2 linked regions of the Rattus norvegicus genome follow. The protein of the gene in region 1 purifies or fractionates together with the protein of each later gene. This does not show direct contact. Links are inferred from orthologs where the notes say so. Each region holds a gene or a part of one and is shown on either strand. Other genes may lie near its edges.

Evidence for each region.
Region 2: the proteins of Gipc1 (region 1) and Sh3bp4 purify together in Homo sapiens (affinity purification with mass spectrometry; 4 studies listed by BioGRID and IntAct, with this or other methods). This does not show direct contact. The link is inferred for Rattus norvegicus from reciprocal best matches to the Homo sapiens genes GIPC1 and SH3BP4.

The regions. Positions count from the first base shown.
Region 1 is NC_086037.1:41,380,844-41,385,917, reverse strand, and holds the start of Gipc1 (PDZ domain-containing protein GIPC1), read left to right. Parts: upstream 1-1,975; 5' UTR 1,976-2,013; coding exon 2,014-2,301; intron 2,302-2,992; coding exon 2,993-3,178; intron 3,179-3,272; coding exon 3,273-3,453; intron 3,454-4,090; coding exon 4,091-4,203; intron 4,204-4,935; coding exon 4,936-5,017; intron 5,018-5,074. UniProt on the Homo sapiens protein: May be involved in G protein-linked signaling.
Region 2 is NC_086027.1:97,183,505-97,187,659, forward strand, and holds the end of Sh3bp4 (SH3 domain-binding protein 4), read left to right. Parts: intron 1-524; coding exon 525-713; intron 714-1,389; coding exon 1,390-1,614; 3' UTR 1,615-3,374; downstream 3,375-4,155. UniProt on the Homo sapiens protein: May function in transferrin receptor internalization at the plasma membrane through a cargo-specific control of clathrin-mediated endocytosis.

The sequences.
Region 1 (5,074 bases):
GCTGAGAGCTTACACTTTAGTCAGAGGCATCAAGCAGAGACAGACAGACTGACTGATTGACTGACCGGGCCTGGAGTGAGTGTTTGACACCTCAAGACCCACTGTCTAATGGCAGGAACCAGGCATTCAAATATGAGGCTTGAGGCACTCTCTTTCAGACCACCACAACTTCAGTTCCTAAAGACCCATGCAGCCCAACATTGCCACAGGCCAGCCATTGCTTGTCTAGGGGCAGTACTGCTCTGAGGATTTCACCCCGGTAACTAAGTTTCCATGAGGATGCATCGCCCGCCTCTTCCTGCCACAACTCATTGGCAGAACCAGTCATCTGCCAGCCCTGTCCCAAGGGGCGTGGCAGGGACCATGCACTCTGTGCTGTGAGGGAGAGACTCAGAAGAGTTTTGTTTCCTGTGTGTGTGGTATATGTGCGCGTCAGATGTGTGTGGAAGCTGGCTGGAGGATAGCCTCAGGTCTCATGCCTCGGGAGCTGTCCACTTTGGGGTGCTGTTTACTACTGCATTTGCTTGTGTACATACGTGTTTGTTTGTGTGTAAGTACACATAGCCCAGTGCACATGTAAAGGTCAGACGACAGCTTGCAAGAGTGCGCACTCTCCCTTCATTGGGCCCAGGTGATTAAACTCAGGCCTGCAGGGGTGATGGCCATCTTGCCAGCCCTCCACCTTGCGTTTTGAGACAGGATTTCTCACTGGCCTGAGCTCACTAGGTAGGCTAGGTGGGCTTTGAGCCTTGGGGGTCCTTCTCTCTCCAGCTCTGTAAGATGCTCTTACAAGGGCATCTTTCCTCATGGTTTTTTGTTTGTTTGTTTGTTTGTTTTTTTCTTTTACATAAACCAGACCCAAACTTGGGTTTTGCACAGAGCATTAATGACTGCAACTGATAGAAAATGAAAAGACACTGTGTCTGGTGGTTTCCATCTGCTCCAACACTGCAAGATGAACAGAGGTAGAGTTGGTGAGTTCTAGGCCAGCCTGGACGACAGAGTGAGAGCCTTCTCAGAGAAATGGAAAGTAAAGGGCCATCCAGCATTTTATCTTCCCTTCAGTTGTCTGCTCCAGTGGGTGTGGTCAGGGCAGGATGCACCAACGGCCTCATGCCTCATCCAGAAGGAGAATTGAACGAGGTCACAGAGCAGCGGGTGTGGGGTTGTAATGGGTATCTCTGTGGGGATTATTACTGTGCAGTGCGAGGCTTCATTCTGATGCTGGGATGAGACCGGGTCCTCATTAGCACGTGCTCCACCACTGAGCTGCACCCCAGCATCGGAGCTATCTGGAGTCACCTCTCTTCGTTCACATCAGCTCTGGGTGCCCAGATTGAATCCACTGTATACAGAAAATACTTGGGTGAGGCAGATGTCCTGCTATTTCCCTGTAATCCCATCCACTCTGCAGTCTGAAGCAGGAGGATTGCAAGTTCAAGGACAGCTGAGCAACTGAGAGATAACTGCCTCACACTAAAAAGTAAGAGGCAGTCTAGACTTGTAGCTTGGGTCCACATGCACAAGGCCAAAATGGCCGATTCGGAGAGAGCCTTGTACCTATGCTGACCATGGACAGAATCTTGTGTTGTTACTCTTCAGACAATACAGCGGAAGAAGAGTTTGCATAGCTTTAAATGTGTACAGCAGATTCCACTGTACGGGAGGAGCTGCAGCTCTGTGGACAAGCGCCAGCCAAGCAGGGGCGATGAAAGCCTCAGCAGAACGCAAACGCAACACAACGTTATATAGGCCGCAATGTGCTGGAGGTGTCCTGGCTCCCTGTGCTTGGGAGCCTGAGTCACGTGATCAGACACGGTGGGGTTCGGTGGTGGAGCACTTGACTAGCACCAGGCCCCTGGGTTAAGAAACATTGCTTCGCAAAATAGAACCATGTTGGTTGATGTCGATACCATGTGGTGGTGATGGATGGCACCCAAGGCTGGTACTCAGAGAGTGAAGCCCGATTCCCTTTCGCAGGTCTCCCGGCCAAGTCCCCACTTCTGGCTGCTCATGCCACTGGGACTGGGGCGAAGGAAAAAAGCACCACCTCTGGTGGAAAATGAGGAGGCGGAGCCAAGCCGGAGTGGGCTGGGCGTCGGGGAGCCCGGGCCCCTGGGTGGAAGTGGAGCAGGGGAATCCCAGATGGGTTTGCCCCCACCTCCTGCTTCCCTCCGGCCTCGCCTCGTGTTCCATACCCAGCTGGCCCACGGCAGCCCCACGGGCCGCATCGAGGGCTTCACTAATGTCAAGGAGCTGTACGGCAAGATCGCTGAGGCCTTCCGACTACCGGCTGCTGAGGTACCAGTGGGACCACGGTCCCTTAAGAGCAAGCCACAGGCCTGGGCATGTATTCCTGTGAGCTGGGGCTCGTGTTCCTTGCTGGCCAGCAGCCCCTGAACCTAGGAGGCGTGGCTACAGGAGGATACTGAGTTCCTATGAGGCCTTGAGAGACTTGTACCCTAGTAGGTATGGGGGGGGTTTCCCAACGGGCCTTACGAGGCTCGTAATCTAGTAAATTGTGGGTCTGCAGATACTGATTTCCCATCAGGTCTGAAGTAGCCTGTGTCCTGGAGGATGACAGCCACAGGTGGCAGCTGGGTTTCCAAGGCATTGGGAAGCTTGTGCCCCAAATACTGTGGGACCTCAAGAGGGGGAGGGAGGGTGTTAGGAGCAGCTTCTATTTCTCCAGGGTGCCCTGGAGGCATGACTCCAAGCTAGAAGCTGAGAAGCCACTGGGAGGGCAACAGTGGGACTGAGATTCAAGTGGAGATGGGTAGGAAGGCTGGGTGGGAGTCTAGACCCCCTTCACCCCTCAGTAAGTATCGAGTGATCTCTGTATGTCAAGCTAGCTCTTGAGCTTTTACCAGGACAGAAATCCTGCTCATAGCATTTGATGTGCCAGTGGACCTCTCCTTGGCTTTGGGTGTTACCAGTCCCTGGGATAGGGGACCCAGGGAGGAAGGATGAGCATCTTGCCCCACCTCTGCAGGTGATGTTCTGTACCCTCAACACCCATAAAGTGGATATGGACAAGCTGCTGGGGGGCCAGATCGGGCTGGAGGACTTCATCTTTGCCCATGTCAAGGGGCAGCGCAAAGAGGTGGAAGTATTCAAGTCTGAGGATGCTCTGGGGCTCACCATCACCGACAACGGGGCCGGCTATGCCTTCATTAAGGTGCCCGGGTGGGTGGCACACCCTTAGTCAGTGGCCAGGGTCTTTAATGGGACCTAGAGTGGAGCTTCCAGGGTTGATGCCTGCCCCTCCACAGCGCATCAAGGAAGGCAGTGTGATTGACCACATCCAGCTCATCAGCGTGGGTGACATGATTGAAGCCATCAACGGGCAGAGCCTGCTGGGCTGTCGGCATTATGAGGTTGCCAGGCTCCTCAAAGAGCTGCCCCGAGGCCGCACCTTCACCCTCAAACTCACCGAACCTCGGAAGGCGTTTGGTGAGCCATTCTTGCAACCTGGACCACCCACCGGGCTGACCTTGAGCTCTTAAGAAATACAGATTGTAGTCCTGGGAACCACCAGCAGGTGGCACTCAAGCCTGCAGTGCAGAGTGGGGGCAGCCCCACCCTACCCTAGAACTGAGTGCTGGCTGACAGCCCAGCCAGAAGGAAGTCGCCCCCACACCCGACTTCCAGGAGCCATTAGCCCAGCCGAGTGCCCCCAACCCTGGCCAGCCCCCTCAGCCTGGAGAAGTGAGGCTTGGCTGCCTTGTATGGCTCCTGTGCCCGGCGCCCCCCCCCCCCCCCCGTTTCTACCTGGCTTCACTAACTCTCAGGAATGGGCCTGAGGCACCCCTGATGTGGGTAGAAAGGGCTTATCTGAGACTCAGCAGTTACACTCACCCTTCTCAACCCTCACTCCTTCAAATAGAAGCTACCTTCCATTCTCTCTCCAGCTGCTTTTATGTCTGGCCCCTAGCTGCCCCTCACCATCCATGCAAAGTCCTGCCTTGCTGGAACCCAGTCCCTACCCAAGGAGCCTGCAGAACTTTGAAGGTGGTGGGAGGTGGTTGTGTGAAGCCTGCGTACTGTGTTACCGTGGGCTGATTTTCCCCACTACCTTTGCCTTCTACAGATATGATCAGCCAGCGTTCATCAGGTGGTCACCCTGGCTCAGGCCCACAACTGGGCACTGGCCGAGGGACCCTCCGGCTCCGATCCCGGGGCCCTGCCACAGTGGAGGATCTGGTGAGTGAGCCCCCCGGGCCGGTGACACCATTCTAATTATGTGAAAGGCTCAGGACACCTCTCTCTGCCTAAGCCTACTCTTACCAGCTCTGGGACCTACGGTGGTCCATCGGGCAGCCTGGGGTCTCCTCCCTGTCCAGTAGGTTCAGTGACTTCTTGTCAGAGCAGACATTAGCGATGTAAACAAAAAGGGCTGCCAGCACGGAATTTCTGGCAGGAGGATTTCACATTCGCTCAAACCGTAAGACCTTGTCACCAGGTTCTTATATGAAAATAGATGAAAGGCAGCCCAGTGTAGATACGTACCCATAATCCTCTCCAGGCTACTGGATAGGAGTTAAGTGTTCAAAGCCAGTTTGGGCAACTTAGAATATGTCTGGGTATGAGAATGGTAATTTCTGGATGTTGGGACTGAAGAGATGGGCTTAGCAGTTTATAGGAGGTGTGGCTCTTGCAGACCACACAGGTCAGTTCCAAGTGCCCATGACGGGTGGCCATCTCTTAACTCCAGTCCAGAGGTCCAGTGTTCTCTTCTGACCTCCACAGACACCAGGCAGACACATAGGACACACAGATATGTGCAGACAAAAGGATCCTCTACATTAAATAAGTAACAGCGGCAGCCACACCAGTGGGTGCATGCAGCTCACCACTGGAGCTGATGCCTGCATGCTGTCCCCAGCACTGACATCTGTTGACATTACTGTACTGTCTTGTCCCCACCCTCTACAGCCGTCAGCTTTTGAGGAAAAGGCCATTGAAAAGGTGGATGACTTGCTAGAGAGCTACATGGGGATCAGAGACACAGAGCTGGGTGAGTGGGGCACCCGTGCCTGGAAGGTGGGAGCAGGCTTCCAGGTCCCACCCAGGC
Region 2 (4,155 bases), on another chromosome or scaffold:
GAGGTATAACCCTTCTACCCTGGCATCATGTTTGGGTCAACACCTGGTGTCATGTGCCCAGCATCATGGAGAGAACCTCAAGAACTGGGACCTGCTTCTGCCGCTGGTCTCCCTCTGGTCTCTGTCTAAGGGGCTCTGGACTTAGCCAATCAGCATCTGTCAATGTGTCCTGTCACCAGCACAACAGACACACTTGGCCAGCTTGAGTCAAGCCTTCCCATGGCTGGAAATACCACTCACCTTCCCCTACTGCCTCTGGGAAGAGTATCAGTCCGGCCCTGGTTCATAGGCGGGTGGCTCTTATAAGGACACTGGCCATGGTGGCCTGCCACTGTGACCTTACCATTGTTCATGTTATATCCCAAAAGCCCTGTAAGGCTCCTCTTGCACATGCACAGTGCTGGGCAGGGGGCCTGTACGCTCCACAGGCCTTAGAACTCTTAGGCAAAAGAGCATCATCAACAGGTTGACTGTCCCCCAGAGCCAAGCCATCCCTGGCCTCATGCTGCATTTCATCTTCCCAGGCTTTGCTGAAAATGGACTGTCAGGGCCTGGTGGTCAGACTCATCCAGGACTTTGTGCTCCTGACCACAGCCGTCGAAGTGGCACAGCGCTGGAGGGAACTGGCCGAGAAGCTAGCCAAGGTCTCCAAGCAACAGATGGATGCCTATGAGTCTCCTCACCGAGACAGGAATGGGGTGGTAGACAGTGAGGTGAGTGGGGCTCCAACCCCTTGGTTACTTTCCTTGCCCCTCAGTCTATCCTAGGACCAATGGGATACAACAGTAAAATATCTACTTCATAGCACTCTGGCAGGGCAGGCTGAGGTGAAGTGAGTTTGCCCAATACGGCGGGAGCCGTAAGCCTGTCTTCAGAGCCTGGTGTAGAGGGATCAGGGCTGCTCTGCCACCATCTGGGAAGTGCGCGCTGCCCTCTCTTACTAATTTTACTTTTAAATGACCTCCTGTAAGATCAATGAGTATATTAACAGAGCCCTGGGGGGTCCACTCTATTGGCTGAATCCCTGCTATGTTACCTAACTTAGACAAAGGTGGGTGTGCTGAAGTCATGCCCATGCCCGACACTACCTGTTTGTGGAGGTGACCCTGGAAAGCTGATTCAGACTCACCAGACAGGGAAGCAGCAAGTCCTGAGCATGAGTGTGTGCTTCCTTTGCATGGGCACTTTCTGATACACGGCTCAGGTGAAAGCGGTGCTATAAGGCAGGAGAAGTCCATCCTGTGACTCAGACACAGGAGGACACCACCCTTCCCCCAGTGCAGGCCATAGCAGCTCCCCCTGCTGCTGTTACAGGAGTGACTGAGGGACCTCACCATCCTGACTTTTCTCTCTTCCTTTTTCCATGTTTCTGCTCCCCGAATCACCCAGGCCATGTGGAAACCCGCCTATGACTTTTTACTCACCTGGAGCCACCAGATTGGGGACAGCTACCGAGATGTCATCCAAGAGCTGCACATAGGCCTGGACAAGATGAAGAACCCCATCACCAGGCGCTGGAAGCACCTCACGGGGACACTGATCCTGGTGAACTCACTGGACATCCTGAGGGCAGCTGCCTTCAGCCCCGCGGACCATGATGACTTTGTGATCTGAGCAGGGCCCCTGCCCTACTGCTCACCAGGGCTGGGGCTCCACCCAGTAGTACTGGGACTCCTCCTACTACTGCTGAGACTCCGCCCACTAGTGCTGGGACTCCGCCTACCAGGGCTGAGACTCCACCCATCATCTGTCCACAGGGGGCGCCCATGCCATCACCCGGTGGTGCAGGGAGGGATGGCCGCTCAGGTCCAGGCCCATCTACCAGCCATGCCCAGGAGGGACTGAGGACTTTGACTCTCTTCCCCTCCCCTTTATCCAGGGGCAGGTCCCAGGGGGCTTTCTACTTCCAGTTGCCAATTGTGTTGCTTTCTATATGTTGAAATGTACTTTAAATTTAAAATCACTTTTTTTAACAGAAGACTTAGAGAGAACGTGAGAAAGGCGGTATCTAATTTTTTAATGGACTGTAAAGGTTATTTAAAAAAAATCCACCTTAGTAAAAGCAAATGCTGTTGAGGTCTATGTGTTCTTTAAAGGCCTTTGTAAATTATGTCCCAGGTGTATATGGATATGTTAAGGCCATGGGTGTTTTCTGAGTCCCAGACATATCTTGCATTTTGACATTCAAAGTGGGAACGATACTGGCTTCATGCAGACATGTTCCACTAGTCACCTGTGAGAAGGCAAGTTTGTGGGCCTGGTGGCTTTCAGTAGGTGGCCCTGAGGCTGCCCACCTTCCCTCCTTTCTTGCTGTCCTCAGCGGCCATCCACACAGCATGTTGCTCTGTGTGCTTCGGTGAACTGCAAAGTCCCTGCACGGTAGCTCGGTACCATTGAGATTCTTCCAACAAATAAGAAATCAGCTGGAGTTGGGGGTCCCTGTCACCCCTGTGTGTTTGGTTATTTGCAGTAACCAGTCTGAAGAACAATGCCCCGAGAGCAAGGTGGTCCCTGCCACTCTGGGCCATTGAATGCTGCCTCCCTCAGGGCAGTCCCACCTCTGCTATAGGTGGGAGGGACGCCCTAGCACCCAGCCAGAACCTGGTGGCCCCTGGCTCTTCCCAAGTCCACCACGGTCACCTGGTGACTTTTCAGGTGACATCACATGCTGGCATGTAGAGGTGTCATCTGCCATTGCCAAACTCCATACCTGATCTCTCACGTTTAACCTCCTCCTTCCTGGTGCGCCCACATCTCCTTAGGATAACAGTACAAGGGGATAGTGTAGTTGTATAAATGTTAGCAGGGGGAACGTTTTCCCTGAGTGATGCTCTCTGGAAAGCTGGGAGCTTGCAGACGATTATATTGAACATCAAGGTGATGTTGACTTCCAGGCTCACACAGAAGCCGTGGCATTTGTGGAGGAAACAGAGAGTAGAACACATACCAGAAAGACCAGCAGTTAAGTGACCCTGGTAATGGGAAAAACTCGAGCTGTCTGTTTACAGGGCCAGTTCCAGACCCGCCATCTGCTTTGCAAGCGCGGGCTGATGACCGGTGTACAGCCTCCGCACTGAGCTGAAATGTCTATAGCTTCTGAAGCGGCACCTGCAGACCCCGACTCAGAAGTAAACAGTGGGCATTAGTGCTGCAAGAACGAAGTCACAGGACCCCCTGGTCACCGCAGTAACGAAGGCCTGTCACGCTGTACCTTCATTTTGTCCAGAGAGCATCTCTTTTGGCCTTTTTCCCCCAAAGAAGAAACAAAACCAGTCGCACCTTAAACCATGGATATTTTTCCTCAGGGGCTTTGAATAGTTTCCTATGCAACAAGTCTTGTAGCACAAATTAAATTCTACAAAAGTTGCGGTAAATTTTATTTGGATATTTGAACTGGTTAGTGTGTGTGTGCGTGCGTGTGTGTGTGTGTGTGTGTGTGTGTGTGTGTGTGTGTGTGTGTGTCTTTCTGTGCCCAGCCAGACTTTAAATAAAACCTAGCATAAAGTCAGTCAGCGAATAGGTTCCTGTCAGTCACTCTGACAGTGTGGCAGTTAATATATAGGGGACGTTTTCTCTAGCTGTTAACTTAATTGTTCCTGAGTGGGTAGTGTAATCATTCATGACAACCAGGTAGGCGTCAGTGTTACCCAGGGCACCCAAATGAAGGAGGCAGATGTCTCCTTGTTCCTGGTTCCTACCACCAGGTAGGAACTGGTACCATCATCCCCCTTCACAGAGTACAAGACCCAGCCGTTTCTGAGTGTGCTTGGCATCTCTGGGGCCTGCTGAAAGCAGCAAGCAATGGAGGCCTTGCCCTGGTTACACTTCCCGTTGTCAGGAAAAGTGGAGCAAGGAGTGAGTGTAGGCACTGGTCCTGGGGACCAAACCCAGCTAGAGGTAGTGGGGAGGAGCTGGGCTCATCAAGAGTCTGTCTGAGAGGGTGTCTTCAATTGGACAGCTCAGGACAGGCCAATTAGTCCTGGACATCAACCCCTGGTTTAGTCCAGATAAACCTGTTCTCGATTTAGGATGATTTGATAAGTTTTTGCCTATTTGGTAGTTGAAGGCCAAGTCCCAGCTGGACCAAAAACAGGCCAGACCTGGGAACTGTGTCTATAGGGTTGACACATGGGTAGCATTGAGAAGCTAAGCCTC